Linked DNA regions of Pelodiscus sinensis. The protein of the gene in region 1 purifies or fractionates together with the protein of each later gene. This does not show direct contact. Links are inferred from orthologs where the notes say so. Each region holds a gene or a part of one and is shown on either strand. Other genes may lie near its edges. The genes, in order: ZZZ3, KAT14 and MBIP.

What was found.
Region 2: the proteins of ZZZ3 (region 1) and KAT14 purify together in Homo sapiens (affinity purification with mass spectrometry; 4 studies listed by BioGRID and IntAct, with this or other methods). This does not show direct contact. The link is inferred for Pelodiscus sinensis from reciprocal best matches to the Homo sapiens genes ZZZ3 and KAT14.
Region 3: the proteins of ZZZ3 (region 1) and MBIP purify together in Homo sapiens (affinity purification with mass spectrometry; 4 studies listed by BioGRID and IntAct, counting the BioPlex papers as one, with this or other methods). This does not show direct contact. The link is inferred for Pelodiscus sinensis from reciprocal best matches to the Homo sapiens genes ZZZ3 and MBIP.

Annotation. Positions count from the first base shown.
Region 1 is NC_134719.1:25,183,904-25,191,971, reverse strand, and holds the start of ZZZ3 (ZZ-type zinc finger-containing protein 3), read left to right. Parts: upstream 1-3,650; 5' UTR 3,651-3,827; intron 3,828-3,900; exon of another isoform or gene 3,901-4,266; intron 4,267-8,068.
Region 2 is NC_134713.1:193,862,674-193,870,741, forward strand, and holds the start of KAT14 (cysteine-rich protein 2-binding protein), read left to right. Parts: upstream 1-3,538; coding exon 3,539-3,794; intron 3,795-8,068. Other genes in the region: protein PET117 homolog, mitochondrial, read left to right, coding at 3,076-3,225. UniProt on the Homo sapiens protein: Component of the ATAC complex, a complex with histone acetyltransferase activity on histones H3 and H4. May function as a scaffold for the ATAC complex to promote ATAC complex stability. Has also weak histone acetyltransferase activity toward histone H4.
Region 3 is NC_134714.1:47,307,414-47,315,481, forward strand, and holds the start of MBIP (MAP3K12-binding inhibitory protein 1), read left to right. Parts: upstream 1-2,875; 5' UTR 2,876-3,011; coding exon 3,012-3,137; intron 3,138-8,068. UniProt on the Homo sapiens protein: Inhibits the MAP3K12 activity to induce the activation of the JNK/SAPK pathway. Component of the ATAC complex, a complex with histone acetyltransferase activity on histones H3 and H4.

The DNA.
Region 1 (8,068 bases):
TCTTCATAGTTTCCATTATATGTCTATCTTCCCCTGATGCAGATCCAATCCCTCTGCTATTCTTACCCTTGCATCCCTGAATGCCCAACTCCTCTCCTTTTGCTGAGTAGACCCTACTGCCCGCCCCCCCAGTGCTAATTTTGGTGTCTTCTTGGAGGGTCCAAGAACCATTCCACTCCATTCTCTTTTGTAGTCTTCAGCTCATCCCATTTCCTTCTTTGAGGATCAACCATCTTCCATATCACATAAAATGCTTCTTCATGGGCCCACTAATCCAAGAAAATACATTTGGTTGGGCCTACAACACTTCTTCCCTCAGAGACCAGAGTCTTCCTACAATAGAGAATGCTCTCATATATTACATCTTCCCCAGAGAGGGAACTCCTGCCACTAGTGGATGGGGCTTCTTTCCAAACCTAGCCTACAGAAAAAAGGACCACAGCTCAGCACCTTCAATGTTAGCCATGTGAAAAGGGCAATCCTCTGCCCTGTCCTTGAAGATGCATCATCTTGGAATTGAATGGATAATGACCCCTTTAAGCAAACCCTGTCAAGATGGGGAGGCAAGGACTTACCCAGCAGTAAGTGGTGTGATGCTAGGAATTGCTCTCCTTAGAGCCCAGTGACTATCAGTTCTGACCCTCTTCCTTGCTCAATGATCAAATTTGCTCTCCCTTAAACCCCTTTTTTACCTGACCCCAGAACAAAAACAAAATGTTTTCAGTTTTAAAAACGGATATCTTGTTTGGGGAGATGGTTTGGGCAGTCATCATGACCTCTTATTTGCACCATAAATTCTGTGCTGGGGTCTTGAATTGACATACTAATTTTCACAATGCTAACTGGATTTCAGATGTTTGGAAATTTGGCATTAAGTGGTAACCCTGTTGCATCCTATCTATTGAGTTGCTTCTACTCCAACATAATAATCCCCACATTTGTTAATTTCTATATTGTGTTTCTGCAATATAATCAACCTGGGATTAACCAGGAATGCCAAGTAGAAGCTTCTGGTTGTAAAGTGGACAGCTTTCATGGAGAGGTGGTGTGATACTAGTAAAGTACCATACTTATTTGCATTCTTTAGAACATAAAAATGACCATACTGGATCAGACCAAAGGTCCATCTAGCCCAGTATCCTGTCTGTGGCCAATGCCAGATGCCCCAGAGGAAGTGAATGCAACAGGACATCACATTGCCTCTCTCCTGTCATCCATTTCCAGACAAACAGAGGCTAAGGACACCATTCCTACCCATCCTGGCTAATAGATATTGATGGCCCTAACCTTGATGAATCTATCTAGCTCTTTTTTGAACTCTGCTAAAGTCCTGGTCTGCACAGCATTCTCTGGCAAGGAGTTCCACAGTTTGACTGTGTGCTGAGTGAAGAAAAACTTCCTTCTGTTTGTTTTAAACCTTCTACTTATTAATCTAATTTGGTGACCCCTAATTCTTATATTATGGAAATTAGTAAATAAATGTTACTTATTCACTTTTTCCATACTTGTCATGATTTGATATACCTCTATTTTATCCCTTCTTAGTCTCCTCTTTTCTAAACTGAAAAGTCCAAGTCTTTTTAATCCCTCTTCATATGGGACCCGTGACAAACTCCTAATGATTTTTGTTGCTGTTCTCTGAACCTTTTCCAATGCCAATATATCTCATTTGAGATGAGGCACCACATCTGTATGCAGTATTCAAGATGTGGGCGTACCATGGTTTTATATAGAAGCAATAAGATATTCTCTGTCTTATTTTATATTCCTTTTTAAATGATTCCTAACATTTTCTTTTTTGACTGCCACTGCACACTGAGTGGATGTTTTCAGAGAACTACCCACAATGACTCCAAGATCTCTCTCTTGAGTAGTTGTAGCTAAATCTGTCCCCATCATGTTGTATGTATAGTTGGGATTATTTTTTCCAACGTGTATTACTTTACATTTATCAACATTAAATTTCATTTGCCATTTCGTTACCTAATCACAGTCTGCTTTGGACTTAACTATCTTGAGCAGTTTGGTATCATCTGCAAATTTTGTCACTTCGCTATTTACCCCTTTCTCCAGATCATTTATAAATAAGTTGAATAGGATTGGTCCCAGAACCGATGCTTAGGGGCCACCACTAGTCATCTCTCACTATTCTGAAAACTTCACATTTATTCTTACCCTTTGTTTCTTGTCTTTTAAGCAGTTATCAATCCATGAAAGCACATTCCCTCTTATCCCATGACAACTTACTTTACTTAAAAGCCTTTGGTGAGGGACCTTGTGAAAGGCTTTCTGGAAATCTTAGTATATTATATCCACTGGATCCCCCTTATCCACATTTGTTGACCCCCCCCCCTCAAAGAACTCTACAGACTAAATGTAGTGTTCTGCTAACATTTTATAAAGTAATTAATTGCAACTATAGAAGAGATCAATAAAAGTTACATCAGACCTGCCTGAAGACAGCACCTTAGATGCAAAACACACAGAACAGGTACAGCTCCCATTGGAGATTTTTCACTGACTTCCGTCAGATAGGAGCTGATTGAAAATAACTTGGAGAAAAGGTTGGGAATATCAGTTTGGATACCATATGAAGGGACAGGATGCAGAACTATTGTTCTTTGTGAGTAGTGATGAAGTTAACCTTCTTGTTCTGGAAAAGGTCACAGATAAAGATGATATTGTTATGCGGGAAAGATGTTTAGTGGCTCCCATCAAGTGGGTCTTTCAGCTACAATCACAAATTAGTTTTAATCTAAGCACCCGTTTTTCAGGCTCCATGAAAGGAGCAATGAAGCTATTTTATGTAGTGACATAGTTGCAAAAAATAGCTACCACACTGCCCAAAGCAATGGGCCATATGGCAAATGCTTGTGCAGAAGCTAACCTCTGTGGAATGATGTGTTCTCTGATACTATAGCAAATGCAGAAGCTAGGGGAGCAAGCTAAGTACAGATGGAGAAGAAAGCCAGCAGATAGGGACAGAAGTGGCCCTGAGAAGTAGCAGACACACAAAACTCCTAGAGCAGAGAAGAGACTGGACAGGCAGGCTTGCGGATTGCTGAGCAAGGAAACTCCCTTACTCTTTTCTACTACTACAACCCTGGGAAACAGGACGCTTTGTACATCCTCGGGAAGCCAACAGGGGTGGGCCAAAATATACCTGGCCCATCAATTTCTCTCTCTAACGGACACAAACCTGCAAGACCCCAAAAGTTGGTCACGTGCTTATGACAAAGGGTCAACACAGTGTAGAAGCCCAGGAGCCAGAGCTGCCTGCCTGGGGAACGGCTGGCACCGCGTCCTCGGGCTGGGGCGGGCAGGGCCGTGGGCCTGCAGGCGCTGGAGGGGGGCGGGTGAAGAGAGCGGGGAACGCACCCGTTCTGGCCCGACCCTCGCACCTCTTGCTTCCACCATCTCCACCTCGCATGGCCCAAGTCAGGCCCGGCCCGGGGCCCGCCTCCGTGGGCAGAGCCGGCCGGCCTGCCCCCCCGGCAGGGAATATCCGCTGGGGGAGACGAGCCGCCGAGTCCCGCCTCGCGCCCCAGCTGCGCCGGGGGCATGTACCGGCCCTCACCCCACGAGCGTAGGCTGCGACGGGCCGCCTCCCCCAGCGACCAGCAGGCGGAGCTGCAGGGAGCTGGTCCCCGCTGCAGCGGGGGGAGGGGAAGGAAGCGGAAGGAGCCGCCGCCGCCGCGCTGAGGGGGGAGCAGGCGCTGTGCGGAGCGAAGCCGCCGCCGCTGCCTGGTGCGCGGCGCAGAGGGAACGAGCAGGGGAAGCGGCGCCTCTGCCGGCAGGCTCCGTGCGCGCGAGATAGCGGGAGCCAGGTGAGGTCTAGGCACAAGAGAAAGGGGGGACCCGGATGATGCCGAGTTCGGCGCCCGCAGGAGGGGGGGGAGAGGAGGGGGAAATTCCCACGTGACCAGCGCGCCCCGTTCGAATCCCAACAGCTTGGGGCCGGATCGGCAAGGCAACTCTTGCGCCTGCGCATCGGCTCCACCTCCCTCCCTCCTGTCGCGTGCGTGGACATGTGCGTGCGTGCGTGCGTGTGCGCGCGCGCCGCGGGTGCAAGGTGGTTGCTGCGGGGTCGGGACACGTGCGCGGCGCCACCGCCATGTTGATTCCCAGCGCAGCTGTGGTGGGGGAGGGGCCCGCATGAGACGAGGAGGGAAAGGGGAGTGAGGGAGTTCTCGCGAGGCTGTGCATTTCCCGTGGGAGATGGCCGGCAGCAGGATGGCGGCGCGGCGCTGGGCTTGCTGGGTAATGGTAACTGGGGTTCGGGGGGCGGGGACCCTGGGACCAGCCTCCTCCTACCCGACTTGATTCCGAGCTCACGGGGGCGGGCTGGGCGCCCCAGGCGGTCGGACCAGCGCCCGCTGGGCCTGTGTGGCAACCGTTGTGGCTCCGCATATGTGCTCACCTGCTCTCCCTGTGCTGCCCCCCGTATCCCTGTGGCTTATTGGCTGTTCTCCTCCCCGCCCCCAGCATCTCCTGCTGCCTGCCCCACCGCCTTGCCCCGATAACTTTCTCAGACAGCCCTGCCTGCCCCAGCACCTCTCATTGTGCTCGGACAAACCAGACCTGCTGGGCTCTTACCATGCCCTCCTGCCCTGTAGCAACTCGGGCCATTCCCTGAGCAGTGCCCTACGCACCCCAAACACCTCTTTTGTCTCTACAAAGTGCCTACGTGCTCTGGTCGCTGCTGGAAATCAGAACCTGCAGTAATGCTCTTCCCCTGTGTCGACCTGGCTCCCAGCACTGCTTTGTTCTTTCAGGTGGTGACCCCACTTTGTCCTTCATTCCTGGATTCATGCGCTCCTTGCATGTTTCCACTGTGATGCCTCTGAGGGCACCCCCTCTACTTCTAGTTTATAGGTTGTGTGTCATTATCATGATTGTGATGGGTGAGGGAGAAAAGTCTCAATAAACTGGACAGAGGTCCTAGTTACTGCAGAAATGACCTCCCCTCTAACTATACTGCTGTGGATGGCTGTACCTGAAACACACTTTCCCTCATATTTGAAAAGTGCCTTTCACGTTGTGACTACTATTGGATAGTAAAGAAAATAATAGTCTGTAGTCCCAAGCATTCCAAATCTACAGTAGTCCCTATTGCTTTAATATAAACAGGGTTTTGCATGTGGTCCTACTCTTGTCCTGTTTCATCCCTGTTATGTTTCATCTCTGGTTACCCATTACTCCCTTGACAGTTCTTCTTTGCTAGAATTGCGACATGCCTTGTTATAGTTCTGAATGTCCACATAACTCCTGGCATTTCTGCACATGTAACACTTATTTAAGCCAGGATTTATGGAGCATATCAGTTATTGAGAAACTTATGTTAGCTGGTAGAATTCTGGTTTATTATTTAGTTCCAGTTAGATATTCAGTTGGCAAGCTTTTGATAGCACACTTTTTTTGTTTGTGTTTTTTCTAGTAGTGTTAGTTTAATCTTGTTTATTATTCACTTTTCCAAGTTTTTGCTTCTGATGTGTTTAAGCTCTTGAAGTGGGAAAAAAATAGTTTTACATATTTTATTATGTAGAAAAGTATATGCTAAGATGTTTGCTATTTTCACAAAGTACAAGATAGAGAGCATGGAGACCAAGGTCATCTTGGTTCTGCTGCAGATATCTGAGGAAATCCTGGCCCCCATCAAATGAATGTCAAAACTCCATTTGATTTCAGTGGGAGTCCAGATTCTGTCTTGTCAGTATGACTTGGAGCAAGTTGGATCCTGCTACACATGAAGGCTTTTCATTTTGTTGCTTCCAAGATTTATAAAATAAGTAGTTTTGAAAGGAAATATTTTTGGGCCCAATCTTGGGCTGTATCTTGCAACCCTTGCACAATACATTCTTTCATTCTATTGAATGGTGCAACTATGTTTGGGGTAAGTAGTAGCAGACTAGGACTCAGATAGGAATATATTTTTTTAATATGATCCTTCAGTGTGTTTCTATTTCAAGTGGGTGTAGTAGTAATTTAGTACAGTACTGTAATTGTCACCATTCTGAGTTCTCTTTTGCTGTAATTAAAAATGAAGTTAATTATTTTGCCTCGGTAATGTATAAAATGTATATTTCTTTAAGTATTATAATTATTTCAAATAGTGTAATTATTAAGGACTAATTAAGCTTAAATAGATTTTCTGATATTAAACATTTGCAAAATCTGAAAAATTTACCAGACACTTATCTAGAACACCAAATGTACTACAGAGTTAAGTATGGAAGAAGGATCTTTATCATTGATGCCTAAGGACAAAGCTCTATTGAGAGATCTAGTCTGTCCATTCCACCTGCTGGACAATGGGAAGATGCTTTGATTTCTGTCAGAGTTCCTTCCCCGTCTGCCCAGAGTATCTATTTTGTATGAGCATCTGGTTAGTAAGAATTTGAAGACTTTGCGTGCTCCTCCCGCCCCCGGGCTCTGATTGGCCTGGGGGCAGGGGAGTGTGTGATGTCTTCTCCTGCCCTGCAAGGGGCATGTGGCGCTTAGAGTGAAAGTGCCATGTGCTCCTTGCAGGGCTCGGGTAGGGAGTGCATGAGGTTTCCTCCAACCTGTCAAGGGCGCGCAGCACTTTAAATTGCAGGGTGGGGACAGGGAGCGAGAGACTTGGATCCCTCCTCCTGCCTCTGGGCCCTGATTGGCCTGGAGGTGAGGGGAGCTGGTGAAGTCTTCTCCTGCCCTGTAACCGGACAGGTGCCTAGAGCAGGGGTGGCCAACCCACTAAACAAAGAGAGCTTAAACAGCGGTGGAAAAAATGAGAAGAGCTGCACCAGAATTGTTGAGCAAAAAACAAACCAAAAAAAGATGCTGCCCCTTTAAAAAACACAGGCTTAGGCTTTTTGGCAGCATCAGGCTCCTGCCAGCCGAAGCCATCTTGCAGATGCCATTTTGAATCGCCGCTGGACAGCTCCCCTGCCTCCGTGAGCACAGGAAGCCAGGGGCCATTTGGAGGGGCTACGTGAGCCGCAAGGGAGGCTTTACGCGCCACACTTTTGGGAGGGAAGAGCCGCATGCAGCTTGCGAGCCATGGGTTGGCCACCCTTGGCCTAGAAGAAACTGCCAGCTCTTCAGAACAGCTGGCAGTTTTCTCTAGGGGCTCAGATGGGGGCAAAAACTGCACGTGCTCCCTCGCCTTCAGGCCAGTCAGGGTATGTGGGAGGGGGAGCATGGAGGTATCCTGGCCCCGCCTCTTCTGGGGCAGCCCAGTACCACTTCAAAAATTAGTGAAGTGGCCCCCCCATCTAAAATTATTGCCCACCTCCTGCTCTACACAGTACTCACAACGCTGAGTAGAAGTCTCTGTTCTTTCCACAGCCTCCATTTTTGTGGCATTTAATTGGTTTACTTTTTATTCAAATCTAGAATGTTGTCCTTATGATTATAAGGGCCATAATTTGTTTTAAAGACTTATGTTCTGTAGAATAATGCTATAGGTCCTCCGATTTGTTAGGGAAAGCTTACTCATCTGAGATGAGTAGTTTTTTAAAGTTGGCAGCATTTGCTTTAGCACCAATCTTGCATTATGCTTATGAGAACTTGCTTATAAATAATGTTTTATAGGAAGTTTTATATAGCTATAACTTTTAAGAACACGATAGCCATGGCTTCTCTTTTCAAATGTCGCTTTCACAGTAGAGCAGACTTAATAAAAGAGAACTTTTAATATCATATAGATATAGGTACAAATAAAAAATATCCAGCATTCTATGACATGCAGGCCCCAGCAGCCCATATATACTAGCTATTTTGTACAAACTATATTTTATTTGCATAAAAACATTTATATCCTGTTTAAGAAAGTTTTAAAAATTAATTTTGAAATATATTTATTAAAAATAGGATTAAACTTGACATAAGAAGGTTTTTCTTTCTACTGTATAATATACTTTCTAGACTAATATGATTTTAAACAAATCTATACAGTTAAGAACTCAATAGTTCTTCTACATCATTTCTTTCCATAATCACTCTAATCTCTGTTTAGTGCAACTTTATTCAAGCTCTTTCTGGTACCAAAGTCAAAACTGTTTTTAAGTGTATTGCCATATGTTTGATG
Region 2 (8,068 bases), on another chromosome or scaffold:
ATTGTCACCGAATCTGAAATAGTTGTGTGTGAGGATAAAGTCACGGAGTTCAGCCACCAGCTGTGCTGTGGCATCATCAGGGATACTGTTCCTGACAGCTTGTGTTCCATGTATGCGTGGGATTAGATATTAGGAATGGCAATATACAAAAACCTGTAGGAGAACACTTCAATCTCCCTGGACACACAGTAACAGATTTAAAGGTAGCCATCCTGCAGCAAAAAAACTTCAAGACCAGACTTCAAAGAGAAACCGCTGAGCTACAGTTCATCTGCAAATTTGACACCATCGGTTCAGGATTAAACAAAGACTGTGAATGGCTAACCAAGTACAAAAGCAGTTTCTCCTCTCTTGGTGTTCACTCCTCCATATCAGCTACTAGAAGTGGGCCTCGCACTTCCTGACTGAAATAACCTCGTTACCTCTAGCCTTATTCTGGCCTGCATATTTATACCTGCCTCTGGAAATTTCCACTACATGCATCTGACGAAGTGGGTCTTTGCCCACGAAAGCTTATGCTCCAATACATCTGTTAGTCTGTAAGGTGCCGCTGGACTCCTTGTTGCTTTTACAGATCCAGACTAACACAGCTACCCCTCTGATATCTGATAATCAGTGTTAACTATTGCTTTGTCTGTGCTCAAAAGTGCACCAGTTTATCTAAATTGTTTAAAAATTGAATTTAGTTAAATTAATGCAGACCTCTAATATGGACACTTTTAAATTAGTTCACATCGGGCTTATGTCAATTTAAGAAACTTTTGGCCTTCATGAACTAATTTGAGAGAAGCCAAGTGAATTTAAGCTTGTGCCAGTTTAACGAAATCGGGGTTCTCTACATTTCTATCACTATTCTTCATTGCATCATGACCCCCTTCTGACAACAAGCATTTCTACACAATTCCAGGAGGGGGGAACCAAAGCCTGAGTCCTTCCAAACCCCACTGCTCCAAATGGGACCAAAGCTGAAGCCTGAGGGCTTCAGCTCCAGGTAGGAGGTCTATAACCTGATCTCTCTGCCAGGGCAGTGGTACTTGGTTTTGGCTTCAGCTCCAGACTTCAGCAAACCTAAGCCAACCCTGGCAAGCCCATTAAAATGGGATTGTGACCCACTATAGGGTCCCGCCCTATAGTTTGAAAACCACTGAACCTAAACTGATATAAAAAAATCAAACTGTTGCAACTTATGTGTATAGACCACACCACACCTAAGTCTGCTTGTATGTATTTTGATGGTACTGAAGGATGTCCTCTGTCATTTGGGACAAAACATAAAGATTTTTTGCAAAATACATATATAACTATAGCTCTAAAGTGAATGAAAGCATAGCCTGGTAGGTTATAAGAGTGTATTTTATTGGATCAAGAGACATGCTTGAAACCTGCATTCATAAAAATCTCTACATTTTTTCTGTATATATAGTATGGTAGTACATTTCATTATACTACTAAAGTAATAGTTTATCAGGACAGTAGTAATTTTATAATCGGAATTAAATTGACTGAAACTGATAGGAAAGAACTGTTCCCATAAAATTAATTTCCAGAGAGATTTTGACATTTTTGGGTGAAATGTATTTTGTCTGCCTCCATAATTTTTGAAAACAAGATTAAAATATTTCTTGCACAAAATATTTTTTCTTCATGATTCAGATGGGACACATTATTTCCCTCAAAATGCGTACGTACTTGGTTTCTGGGTGAGAAGCGATGCCTCTTCCTATTAGAAAGTTTATTTTATTTTTTGAGGTCAATTTTTAAAATGAATGATTTGCAAATGCATTTTCAGATCTATTAAGCCTGCCTATATAATATCAGATTAATCAAATAAAGTATTTACCTTTTTGGCTATTAATTTATTCATAAATTATTTTTTCCAGCATTCATCCAGTCAGCAGTTGTAGTGCCTATGAATACATATGAATCCTGATCATGCAAAGATTTATGCTTTACACATATCAATTAGTTATTTAGGCAGACCTATAAGTTTTGAAAGGATCAAGACCATAGGTAGTAACAAAATATGGGCCTGGTCCTGCAGTTGGATCCATGTGGACAGAACCCTGTGCTTCTTCTAGTATTGGTTTCTATGCAACTATTTCATGTGTTTCCCTAATCAAATGTCATATTTTAATATCTTCTGTTAAAGGTGCCACCTTCATCTTGAAATCTAGTCAATCTCAAAGGAATTAGAAGCAGTTTCAAGTATCACTCCTACCCCATAGTTCCTTTATCAATGTTTGCAGTTTTGCAGATGTATTTTCTTGTTTTCAATATGCCTTTCTTTCCTCTATTGTTTGTACAAATTACCCACACGAAATACCCATAAACAAAAAGGGAAATTGACAAAAGCCCAGATTCAGTAGTTGGACCTACTTGTGGGGATCCAGTTTCAGGAACAAGGTCTGCCTATACAGAAGAAACAGCTAAATTAACTATATATAAAGCACAGTGAGTTCTGCGTTAGTGGATCCCTATGCATTGGAATCTCCACTGAATTCTTGGATCTCTGCATGGATTCAAGGTATTAAGAACAAAATGCTGTCAAGTGCACAAAATAAACCAAGTGGAAAAACTTTTTCTCTTTCAGTTATAATCCTTTTACATTTAATTCATTTTTTTAATGTAGTCTCCATGTTGTCTATGTTAATGTCTGTTAATTCTGCTCAAGCAGAGGATCACAAGTTGAGATATTTCAGGCAGATTAGTTGAATTCTGATAAGGATGGGGGAGAAGTCATAATCTTCGACAGATATATTGCTGTCTCTCCGTAATACTGTAGAAATGATCAATATACAATATTTACAGTTGTCTAACACTTTATCATTATAGGAAGATTATGTAGCTGAACCAACAAATATAGTTTTCCTAGCATGTTACCAGTAGTTATCAACATCCACCTATCAGAGCTCCGTTCTAGTCATTTTAAACTCGAAAAGTAGCTTGTGTCTTGAACAGAGAATTGAAAGTTTGTAACAGTTATATATTTGGCAGTGCTGTGACAGAGGTTGGAATGCAAAGGGGTGTTAGTTCCATGCAATCGACTATAATGAACCATGTCTCTTGTATTTTCAGAGGCTGCACGAAGGAGTTGTCAGAGACCTTGAGAGACAAAGCCGTAAACTGGAAAATATTCGCCTTTTACAAGAACAGATTACTCTGACCAAGCAACTTGAAGCAGAGAGACACAAGATGTTAATGGAAAAAGAGTCCCAACAATCCTAGACTTAAACATGAAGTTTTAGAGTTGGGACTGAAGGACAGCAGGGATTTGTGTTTGAGTGTTCCTAGGTGTTTCAGGAAACGGAAGCTACTTCCATCACCTTTAGCTACCTAGTCATCAAGTCTAGGAAATTATATACATTAAGAAGTGTGTACGCAGAATTATTCTCTAACTTGAATATTTTCATGTGAGCAGAAATATAGTGTAGAAGGCTTCATACCTGGCTGGCTCACCTTATATGGGTGGTATTTTAAATGCTGGAGGGAGAGCCCCATGTAATGTAAAAAAATCCCTTCCTCTGCTTGCCAAGAAGGGATGGATAATAACGTTCACATGAGTGGACTGATGAGTCGGCACGATGACGAAGCTACAAGGACATCAACTTCAGAAGGGCTGGAGGAGGGTGAGGTGGAAGGAGAGACTCTCCTGATTGTTGAGTCTGAGGATCAGGCTTCAGTGGATTTATCCCACGATCAGAGTGGGGACTCCTTGAACAGTGATGAGGGGGATGCATCCTGGATGGAGGAGATGTCCTATTACTGTGAAAAGTGTCAGAAGTGGATACCAGCAAGTAAGAGTCAAGATTTCCTCTGTTATCTCCATCTCTTGCGTTTTGTGGGTTTATTTGTTCTTTTCCTCAGAGAAAAAAAATCATATTATTTTCCTGAACGTATGGGAGGCAGTGATGTGTAGTAGATAGAGCACCAGACTAGGGATCAGGAGACCTAGATTATATTCCCAGCTCTGCCACTGGTCTGCTGTGCCTGTGTCTGTCAGTTCCCCTTTCAATCTCTCAGGGTATGTCTACACTACAAAGTTAATTCGAACTAACGGACGTTAGTTCGAATTAACTTTGATAGGCGCTACACTAGCGCTCCGCTAGTTCGAACTTAATTCGAACTAGCGGAGCGCTTAGTTCGAACTAGGTAAACCTCATTCTACGAGGACTAAGCCTAGTTCGAACTTACTAGTTCGAATTAAGGGGTGTGTAGCCCCTTAATTCAAACTAGTGGGAGGCTAGCCCTCCCCAGCTTTCCCTGGTGGCCACTCTGGGCACCACCAGGGAAACTTGTCTGCCCCCCTCCCGGCCCCGGACCCCTTAAAGGGGCACGGGCTGGCTACGGTGCCCGTGCCAGGTACAAGCCTGCCAGCACCCAGCTAGCAGACCCTGCACCTGGCACGGCTCGAGCCAGCCACCCGATGCCCCCCAGCCCTCCGCCTCTTCCCGGGACCAGGCTGGCGGCTCCCGGGAGCTTGCCCGGGACCGCAAGAGGCGGGCACCCGCCTGGTCTAGTGCGGATATCGTGGAACTCGTCCACGACCTCCGCACTAGGCACAGGAAAGTGGCCGTCTAGGGCAGGAGAGCTGCCAGCCTGGCCACCCAGGAGCAGGTGTGCATGAAAATCAAGGTGGTCCACTGAGACCCCCCGACCCTGAGTCCTGAGCTTACAATGGCCGTCCTGGGTCAGACCAAAGGTCCATCTAGCCCAGTAGCCTGTCTGCCGACAGCGGCCAACCCTAGGGACCCTGGAGGGGATGGACCGAAGACAGTGACCAAGCCATTTGTCTCGTGCCATCCATCTCCAGCCTTCCACAAACTTTGGGCAGGGACACCACTCCTACCCCTTGGCTAATACCACTCCATCGACCCAACCTCCATGACTTGATCTCACTTCTCTTTAAACTCTGTTCTAGTTCTAGCCTTCACAGCCTCCTGCAGCAAGGAGTTCCACAGGTTGACTCTTTGCTTTGTGAAGAACAACTTTCTGTTACTAGTTTGAAGCCTGCTACCCATTCCTTTCCTTTGGTGTCCTCTAGTCCTTCTATTATGGGAACTAATGAAGAACTTTTCTTGATGCACCCTCTCCACCCCACTCATGCTTTTATAGACCTCTATCCTATCCCCCCCTCAGTCTCCTCTTTTCTAAGCTGAAAAGTCCCAGTCTCTTTAGCCTCTCTTCATATGGGACCTCTTCCAAACCTCTCATCATTGTAGTTGCCCTCCCCTCTCCCACCCTCTCTCTTCCCCTCTCCCACCTCCTTTTCCCAATCTCCCCGAGTTTTGTTCAATAAAGAGAGATTCTATTTTTGACCACACGTTTTCTTTATTTTGTACATCAGGAAGGGGGGCTAGGGAAGGGTAAGTGGAAGGAGGTGAGGGAGGAATGGGGTACGAGCCCCCAATGGGGAGGACTGGGCTGGCTCTGTGGGCTTCTGTGGGTGGAAGCTCTCCTGCAGGCCCCCAATTGCCCCCTCTCCTCAGATGGCAGCCTGCGGCAAGTGCAGCCGGTCTGATGGCCGAGTGCTGTGATGTGCCCGGTGTGGGCACTCAGGGCACTCCAAGACAGGACTGCTTTGCAAGCGGGGTACCCCTGAGAACTGTCTGTCCGGGGTGGGGGTCGGGTCCCTTTAAGCACAGCCCTTGGCTAGCCTGAGGCAGCAGCTCCACGCTCTAAGTCCTCATCTGATGCCCTGCCGGCACTGCTTCCGGCCATCCTTAACCCCGGTTCAGGGTCCACTTAATGTGGACATGCTAGTTCGAATTAGCAAAACGCTAATTCAAACTAGTTTTTTAGTCTGAATTAACTAATTCAAACTAAGTTAGTTCGAATTAGCGCTGTAGTGTAGACATACCCTACGTTTCCCAATCTGTAAAACAGGGATAATGCCAGTTCCTTTGTAAGGAAAGGTGCTACATAAGAACTATTATTATTTTCCTGATTGGTTTGCCATTTCAGTGGGCTGTGTAAATAGATTTCAGTCTTCTGTATATAAGAATGGTTCCATGGTATCCTGAATTTAAGATTAGTATTCACAGAACAATATAAAGCCAGTTCAGGTTGGACTTCCCTGGTCCAGCACCTTTGGGACCTGACCGGTCCCAGATGAGAGATTTTGCCAGACCTAAGGAGGTCAATTTTGGACCCCTGCCACTGGCCCCCTGGCCTGGCCGCTAGCCTCCTAGCTCCCCACCTTCTGCTGGCCCCGCTGCCCTGCCAACTTGCTGGGCAACCATTGCTGCTGGGGCTCCACCGGGCCACCTAGCGCTGGGCTGGGGTCCGGGCAGCCACGTGCGCCACACCAGGGCTCCGTGAGCAGCCCTGCGTGTTGTGTGATTGAGCAGCCATGTGTGCGCCGGGCTCCCAGCCCCACTGGGCAGTCACCTGCCGGGTCTCCCAACTCTGTTGGGCAGCCCCACTACCACGCTTTGGGCAGCCCCCCCCCCATCAGCTACCTGCAGGCAGCCCACTGCCCTGCTTGCCCCACAGGGATCCTTAGTGCTGGCCCTCCACCAGGACTCTCAGGTCCTGCAACTAGGGATGTCAAATTTAGATTAATCAACAAATTGAATAGTCGATGGAATTTGCAGGAATTTAATAGAACCCCCTGGGCTCTTGTACATTTCCAGAGCAGGGAGCACAGGGCCAGCCAGAGACTGCTTGAGTCCCCCGCTGGCCCCGTGGTGCTTCTGCTTTTGAAGTGCATCAAGAGCCCTGCTCTTGCTACATTCCAAAGGCGGAAGTGCTGCCAGTTCCCCGCTGTCATCGTGTCGTCGTCGTCATCTCTCCCCTCCCCCCGCCCCTCCTGCCATGGAGATAGTGCTGGGGAGGAACCGGCTTTTAAGCCAGCTCCTCCCAGCATCGGCTCCTGCTCCCATCCCCCTGCCCTTGCTGCCGCTAAGCATATGCTTATTGGATAGTCAACTAGTTGATTACATACCTACCTGCAACATCCATGCTGGACCATGGATGTTGCTGGACCAGAGAATCCTGGTTAAGAGAGTTTTAACCTGTAGCAGTAGCTCTGTTACAAACACTGAAGTTATTTTTCCAGTGACTCCATTTAACATTACATAAACTCTTTTAGCATTCTTCATATCCTAGTACCGTAGTTTTTCCTTTCTCAGTACCAAGATCTAGCTGAGCACTGCTCATTTTATGGCAGGAAATACTGATCTCTTCTAGCTTGGTCAATACTTGTCAGTTCAGCTGATCAGTTTGCCAAAAGCTGTAGTGTGAAATCTTTTTTCCAGTGAAGTCATCCAGAATTTTTTCATTTGGCTTTACTGGAGCCAGAATTTCAGTAGGAAGAAGTTAAAGGGACACAGTCAACTTGAAGTCTAGTCTGATTAGGTACTACACCTGGGTATGTCTACACTACAGCACTAATTCGAACTAACTTAGTTCGAATTAGTTAATTTGAACTAAGCTAATTCGAATTAGCGCATCTAGACTTAAAAACTAGTTAGAATTAGCGTTTTGCTAATTCGAACTAGCATGTCCACACTGAGTGGACCCTGAACCGAGGTTAAGGCTGACCGGAAGCAGTGCCGGCAGGGCATCAGATTAGGACTTAGAGCGTGGAGCTGCTGTCTCAGGCTAGCTGAGGGCTGTGCTTAAAGGGACCCGACCCCCACCCCGGACAGACAGTTCTCAAGGGTTCCCCGCTTGCAAAGCGGTCCTGGCTTGGAGTGCCATGAGTGCCCACACTCGGCACATCACAGCACTTGGCCATCAGCCCGGCTGCACTTGCCGCAGGCTGCCATCCAGAGGGGGGGGGGTCAATCAAGGGGCTTCAGAAGAGCTTCCACGCCGAGGAGCCCGCAGAGTCCTCCCCATCGGGGGCTCGTACCCCATTCCTCCCTCACCTCCTTCCACTTACCCCTCCCTAGCCCCTCTTCCTGATGTACAAAATAAAGGACACGTGTGTTCAAAAATAGAAACTCTCTTTATTGAACAAAACTCAGGGAGATTGGGAAAAGGAGGTGGGAGAGGGGAAGAGAGAGGGTGGGAGAGGGGAGGGCAACTAAAATGATCAGGGGTTTGGAACAGGTCCCATATGAAG
Region 3 (8,068 bases), on another chromosome or scaffold:
CAGAGTTTTTCTGGATATCCCAGAAAAACTCTGCAGTCTAGACATAGCCTCAGTACCCCTATCCTTTCCTTTTAGTTCTTTCCTGCTTTCCCTCCTTACCTACTCCCATCCTATAAACCAACAAAAACAATAAAAAAACCTTAAGCAAGCAACAGCTAACGAAATGTGTAATTAACATGTTGTTTACAAGTATCATTTTGTTTAATCTTCTTGTATAGCCCTTTCTTTCACCTTACATCTGGCTTTTCTATTCAGCTCGCTGGAACATAAATCAGCTCTTACCAGAGTTTCAATTGGGCTTAGCAAAAGGCCCATTCTTAACTGTAGCCTCTAGACATTACTGTAATATAAATAAAAGCTCTGGGTATGCTAGATTATGCTATAATGAAGTGTATATGCATGCTTGCAAGGCACTTGAGTGCAATGGCATAGTGATGGCAGTATGTTATATGGGTGGATGAAACTGCAGCACTGGAAGATTGAAGCTGTCAGTGCCACAGAGTGAAAGGCTGGGAGAAAGAGAAGCAAAGCAAGTGCAGGTGGGAAAGGCTGTGGTGGAGCAGGACAACAACGTAGGCAAAGCTTTGAGGGAATGAGGATGAAGCTATGCTGAGTGAATCATGCTCGTGGAGAGGATGGTGGGGCTCAGGTTTATTTACATTGAAACTCAACAGTACACGAAACTAACCTCTGCACTAAGGATGTTAAAATGTGGTTAAATGACTACCGTATTTTCCGGTGTATAAGGCGACTAGGCGTATAAGACAACCCCCTAATTTTCTAGTTAAAAGATAGGTTTTCGTCTTATACTCGCCATATAAGACTACCCCCCTTAAGAGACCAACCGGCAGCACCCCAGCGCCCCTCTGCCTCTCCGGCTTTGCTCCCGGTGCCTCTGGTCTGCTGGGGACCGTCTCCAGCAGACCAGGGACACCGGGAGCAAAGCCTCTGAGGACGCCGGCAGTGGGACAGCCGCGGCGCGTCTGGGCTGCCCCACTGCCGGCTTCCCCCGAGGCTTTGCAAAGCCGCGGAGAGGCTTGGGCAGCGGGGCAGCCCAGGCCCCGCTGCCGGAGCCCCTCCGCAGCTTTGCTCCGCGTCTTCCTGGTCTGCAGACCAGGGAGACGTGGAACAGCTTTTCTCGCCTGAGTACACGGGCGGCGGGACCGCGAGGTCCCGCAGTCTGTGTCCTCCGGGGCGAGAAAAGCCCTGTTCGTACCTGCAAGTCGGGGACTGCCTGTATACCCGGCGTATAAGACGACCCCCGATTTTTGGGGGATGTTTTTTAGCATAAAAAGTCGTCTTATACGCCGGAAAATACGGTAGTTGACTAGTCAATGGAATTTCTAGTACCGGCTGGGGATCTTGTACATTTCAAAGAAGGAATGCAGAACTTTGCTACAGCCTGGGCCGGTGAGAAGTCCCGCTGACTCTGGGTTGCACAGGGAGTGCCTGCTTTGAAATGCACAAGAGTCCATCAGGGACTCTTGTGTATTTCAAAGCCATGGAGCCCTGGGTCAGTAGGGGACTCAATCCCCCACAGAGCCCGGGCTCCATGCTATGCTGCATGCCACTAAGTTCTGGGGAAGTGCTGTGCAAAACCTGGGGTCAGCTGGGAAGTCCTCAGCTGATCCTGAGCTCCATGGCTACCCCTTTGAAATGCAGAGCTGACAGATCAGCTGTGCAGCGACTGCCCCTCTGCCACACCACCTTGGGGTTTCAAAGCAGCTGCCACTTTGAAGTACCCATCCCCCCTCTCTCCGCCCCCCCCCCCCCGCCTCTATAGAGGCAGCAAGGGGGGAGGGGGGGGAAGAGATATCAAATGCCTGTAGAGGAAGCAAGGGTGTGGAATATCAAATGCTTATCAGATAGTCGACTAGTCTTTAACATCCCTACTCTACAGCTGGCCTGTGACAAGCCACCACTCCCCACCATGCTCTCAAAATAATGAAGGTGAATCCAAAGTATTGTATCTCTGAAACTGCTATGAAAGAAGCAGGTGAAGGAAGCAAGGTGTGACATTGGTCTATACAGGAAAGAAATGTGGTTGAGATAGATTTTACCTAGGGAAGTAGTGGAGTCTCCATCCATAGAGGTGTTTAAGTCTCAGCTTGACAAAGCCCTGGCCGGGTTGATTTAGTTGGGATTGGTCCTACCTAGAGCAGGGGGCTGGACTTGATGACCTTCTGAGGTCTCTTCCAGCTCTATGGTTCTATGATTCTAAGACCAGGCAGCTGATCCAAACTAAAAAGTCAAGCTAGATTTACCAACCCCAAATTGCACTGTCAAAGTAGAGAGCCAATTCAGCCATGCCTACTGCACCCGCAAACGTGGAACCCAAAAGATCCCAAAGCAACATTGTCTATTTTGTCACAAGTCTCTCAGTACTTCGGGGATAGAAATGGAGCCGTGTTAGTCTGGTGTAGCTGAAACAAAAACCAGGACTATGTACTTCGGTGTTTCTCTAAAGCCCCGAGGTTATTACTGGGGAGCTCATCTTTCACCTAAAACCAGGTACGTTTCCAGTCTGCATGGCTGCAGAGAGGAGCCTGGCAGTGCGCCCCTGCAGTCCTTCCACTCGGGAAGCAAAGAACCCCGCGGGCTGGCGCTGAAAGCTCACAACTTTACAGCCAGTCTCGGAGGGCCTGTCCCAGGGGTTTGAAGCCCCGAGGGTCCCGCCCCCGCACTCCAGGGCAGTCACATTTAGGAGCCAGGCCACGCACTCGCAGCTTCAGGCCCGGCGCGGCCCCCAGGCGGGACGGGCTTTGCCAGCGCACCGTTCTCTTCCCCGCAGCGCAGCGCAGCCCAGGCCCGCTGCCCGTCGCTGCAGAGCTGGCCCAAGAGCGGGGCCGAGGATTGGCCGCTCTTCACGTCAGTCAGTCCTGTGGGCGGGGACAGACCCGGCTCTCCGCCGCGCTGAGGCCTCCTCCGAGGCTGGGCTGCTCGTCATCCCAGAGCGACGGCGGCGGGAGGCGGAGGCATGGTCCCCGCAGCCAGCGGCCTGGCCGGGTGTCATGGCCGCCGTGGGGGAGCCCAGCCCGCGCCAGCCCGAGGCCCACACGACAGAGACTCTCGCCGCCCCCGCCGCCAGGGAAGTGCTGAGCGGCGTCCTGCGCTCCCTGCCCAGGCTGGCGGGGCAGGTCAGTGAGGGCGGGAAGTCCCTGCCCGGGGCAGGTGGCAGTAGCAGTAGCTCCGCATTGGCGGGGGGAGTGCGAAGCTCTGCTGGTGGGGGCACAGGAGGTGGGCCCTGTTTGGGGGCGGGAGCAGCAGAGTTATAGGTAGGGGCGTGGCGGTGGGGAGAGAGACTCCTTTTGGGGGACCAGCGGCTGTCCAGGGAGAGGGGATGAAAGAAGTAGCTGAAGGCAGCAAGGGCGGGGACTAGGAAATTTGGATTTGTTTGGTTAGAAATCGATTTGAAATTCATAATCCAGCAAAAGCTCCCTTATTTGGGAGAGATCTTTTCATCTGGGATTGTTTTCATCATGTTTGGTACCTGCAGTTACCAAAGATCAAATGCTTCGGAGGGTTAGCCAAGTTAGTCTGTAACAGAAAAAACTTAAAAAAAAAAAATAGTCAAGTAGCAAGTTAAAGACTAACAAAGCATGTAGATGGTATCATGAGCTTTTGTGGGCATAGCTCACTTCTGTCATCTGAAGAAGTGTTGTTCCCACAAAAGATCATGATACCATCTACATGTTTTGTTAAATTTTAAGATGCTACTAGACTATTTGTAAGTTTTTCAAAGCTCAAATGTCTTGCTGCTGCATGAGTGATGGATGGCATGCACACTCGTATTGCCATTTCATACTAAGGGTACGTCTAGACTACCGCGTTTTGTCGACGGAAGTTTTGTCGACAGATACTGTCGATAAAACTTCTGTAGACAAAGAGCGTCCAGACACATTGAGTTCTGTTGACAAAGCAAGCTGCTTTGTCGACAGAACTCCATAGTCTGGACGCAATGTTACAGGCAATAACACCTTCTGTCGACAGAGTTCTGTCGACAGAAGGTGTTATGCCTCGTAAAATGAGGTATACCAGCGTCGACAAAACTGCTGAGTTCTGTCGACGTTATGTCGATAGAACTCAGCGGTAGTGTAGATGCTGGTATAGTTTTGTCAACAAAAGTCCACTTTTGTCGACAAAACTAGGTAGTCTAGACACACCCTAATAGCAAAGCAAATGTGTTGCTTTTAACTATGGCTTTAAAAAGGTGACTGTTACCTGTGAACTCACTTACAAAGGAAATATTTTTCCTGTGACAAAGTGTGGAGATTGTATCACACAAAAGAGGTTACTGATTATGAGTGGTGTCCACAAACCATTATAAGTTTCATAGTCTATTATAACTTTGAAAAAAAAAGGCACCTAAAGTTAGAGCTACTGAAATTTTTGGCTCGGGACAGCCCATGACTTTGCTGCTGTGGAATATAAGAAAATTTTGCTGGGCCAGATTTTTAAAATTGGCTTCAGTTTCAGGGTTTTTTAAAGATTTTAAAAAGTAAAGGCCTATTTTTAGAGCTGAGGAGAGTCCACTGTCATTTAGTAGTGATATTAGCATAGTACTCAGAGGTCCTTATGAAGATCAGGGTCTAAACCCAGACACAGTCCTTGTCCTAAATGGTTTACAATCCTGAAAATCCCAATCTGACAGCTCATGAGCCCATTAAAATCAAGTTTTTTCCCTCAAATTAAACCATGCACAAGTGTGTGGAGCCCAGTGTGTGAAGCTGCATCTGATCAGTGAGTGACAAAGAAATGTATACAACTTGAAATATTTTCTTAATCTAGATATCTACTTTCCCCAACTATTCTTCAGTCTACCACTAAACAGTGACATTTTTTGATATTGGCAAAAACAAGTCTTGTCTTTATTGCCATTTCAAGTGGGTGCTACAATTATCAGAGGTGCATAGCAATTGCATCATAGCTATCTAAGCACTCAATATTGAAATACCCAAAATAAAGGGATTGAAAACTCGGGCATTAGCCTTTTTATTTTTCCTATCTTTAAGATGGATAACTGCACTCTGTCTCTCTAGAAGAAACACTGTATGGATTGGTTAATGTTCATACAGTGCTAAGAGGCAGTAAAGTGCTAAGTATTAGGTGTATCACACTATCATTACATAATAGTATTCCTTTTATTGTGGACAACATTTTCCACAAGTCATCGCTCATCACAGCAATTGAGTGGATGAAGAAAAAACTTACATTCTGTAACTACTGCTATATGCATGTTACTCTAAAAGAGTGTTGTTCTTTGTGCTTATCAGCACTACAGAACCACGTGTATGTATGTATGTATAATTAATATATATATACCAGCTCCTTATATACTTAAAGAAAAGTAGGTATATGATGCTAGCGATGATACGTCCTATGTAACAGTTTAAATCCTTGCAGTTAATGTGTAGTTTTTTTTTTTTTTTTAATGGTTAAGCTCTGTCCCTTATTCAGTACTTCACGGTTACCTGAAATTTAGCTTTTAAATTCTGGGCCTAGTGGCACACGTGTATCAAGGTCCACATTCTGATTTAGTAGAATTTAATTACAGTGGTTTTCCTCCACAACAGGGACATCTTATCTAAAAATTGCTAGTCTGTTATTGTTTCGAGCCGTAGGGTTATCTTTTGTGATGGCGTGACTTTAAGTTACCACAAAATAGACTGTCAGCCAGTGAGAGTATAGTAGGTGCAGAAACTACAAAATTACATTCTGTTTATCACAGTCCTTACAAGTGCTTTGAAGGCAAGCAGATACATTTATGTGACAGATTAATTTGTACTGAACAGCAAATTAATACATACAAAAAGTGTACATTATATGGTGATAGGGGTTATCCTTTACTCGTGACTAAAGCATGACTACAAATAACCCCCCAACCTTTTCACTTACATTTTTAACTGTTTATCCTAAAGTTATTCCCATTCAGAAATCTGGCAAGGTTTCCACACTTTGAGCTACCTAAATAGGAGCCCTCAAAAATCAAGTAAAGCATATGACTGTATCTGTGACTATTTGAAAAGATGGATTGCTAAGGGAAGATTGAAGAGTATGCATTTTAATCTATAATACATGGTATAAATTCTCCCATGGGTAATAGAAACTGTACTTAACAATATAAAAAATAATGTGTACTGTATATTTTTAATGGAAACATGTAGCACAAACTGGGTATGCATGTACACCCGGGTGGCACCATAGATACAGATAAACAATCTCATGAACTAAATAAAATGTACCCAAGAAAGTGAAACTATGTAAATAAAATGTTCGGAATGAGCATGTTTCCGAAAACACGAATTTTCCTGATGTAATACACACAGATTAAATACCAAAAAAACATTTAAAACAGAAGTATTTTATTCTAACTAATAATACTTGATATATTACATCTAACTGAAACAAGAAATGGAAAGCTTGAACTTGTTGTGACTGTTAGTTTTTAGAATTTTGATGCTGACTAAGAAGAAAAATACAGACTTATTATTTCACTAGTTTTTCTGCTTCTATAGTAATTGGTGAGTCCCCTTCTTTCTGTCCTTCATATTGGCTTAGGGTCACACATTTACTCAAGTAGAACAGGAATAGGAATGTTCCCTACTTAAAGCGGAAGGATCAGGGTCATATTTTAAGTATACTACTTACTGTGGTTCTTGTTTTTACAGCAAGTATGCAAAGTAGTTTAATATTTAACTTCTTTGTCTCCCAATGTATTGCTTGCACTCTGTTTACTTTATTCACATTTGATTCTCGCTATGTATGCTCTGAATTCGATGTATTTTTGCTCATTTCAATCTTCAATTATCAGCCCTTTAAAAAAAAAAACCCCCTCAAGAACTAAATATATATATTCTGTTTTCTTGCCCATATTTGATGCCATTAGGAGACCCACACTTTGTGGAGGGTATATGTTAAAGGTATTCTGGCTTTTGGCATGTAAACACAATTATCTATCTACCTGTGGTCTAGTTTTCTTTTTTTAAACTGGGAGCTTGCACCATTTGCGAGCATCATATTGACCTAGTCTTACAAGTATGTCAATGAATTAGGAATTTTGGACCTGATTCTGAGTGTGGCTATGTCATACAACCTCTGTTAATTTAAATAAGAATTATGCCAGAGTACAGAGCTCTTCATTCACTTTTGGAGAATCTCTAATGCCTTATTTGATTGGAAAACAACCTCTTTAGTTTTGGTGAGAGTTACCAAGTGCTTCCTATTTCTTAGGATCATGCCTGAGAGAACAAGTTTCACTGAAATAAAAATAGAGGTTGAAATGAAGAGTATGCATTTATTTCATTAGTGTTTATTAAAGTGTACTGTAAAATTATTTTTACAAACATGCATATTATTTAGAGGTTTAATAGGCTGCATGATCAACACAGTTTGTAAAAGCTAACTTCAATACCTGCATATTTGTAAATTATGCATCATTTTTTCGCCAAGGAGTATAATCTCATGGTATGTAATTTGGTTTTGCAATGGTTCAATTGCATAGAAAGTTTAAGCTTTGATTTTTAAATAGGTTTAATGGAGTGGATAAAGTTCTGCTACATAGACTACATTTTGCTTAACGTACGGTTTAGTAAAGATTATTTATGGAGACTTCTTGCAAAAGAAAATGTAACTTTAGATTGTTTTTAGACTAAAAGTTACTCAGTGTGTTTCAGAATCAAGGCCATAGTTTATTTTTATATACTGGTAATTAAACCCATTTTACCTTTTTAATATTCCACTGTTTGCAAAGCAGTAATCTCTATGAAACAAGCATAGTGGTGGCTTGGGCTTCTCGTTAGCTATGCTGTCTAGGCAGCTAAAATAAAAGCAAATAAGAAGAGACAAAAATATTTTAGAATAACAGTTAACTGTTTAGTCAGTCTATCAGCTACCATTAACAGAGGTTGAGGCTATATTAATGCAATAAAAATGGCACTGGTTAACTGAGTATTTTAAAAAAAAAAATCAGACTTCATGCAAGTATACCCAGTAATTTATTTGGGGAATGACAGTTACAACTGATGTTTCAATGCAAAACTAACATTTTTGAACCATTCTTCTGCTCTAA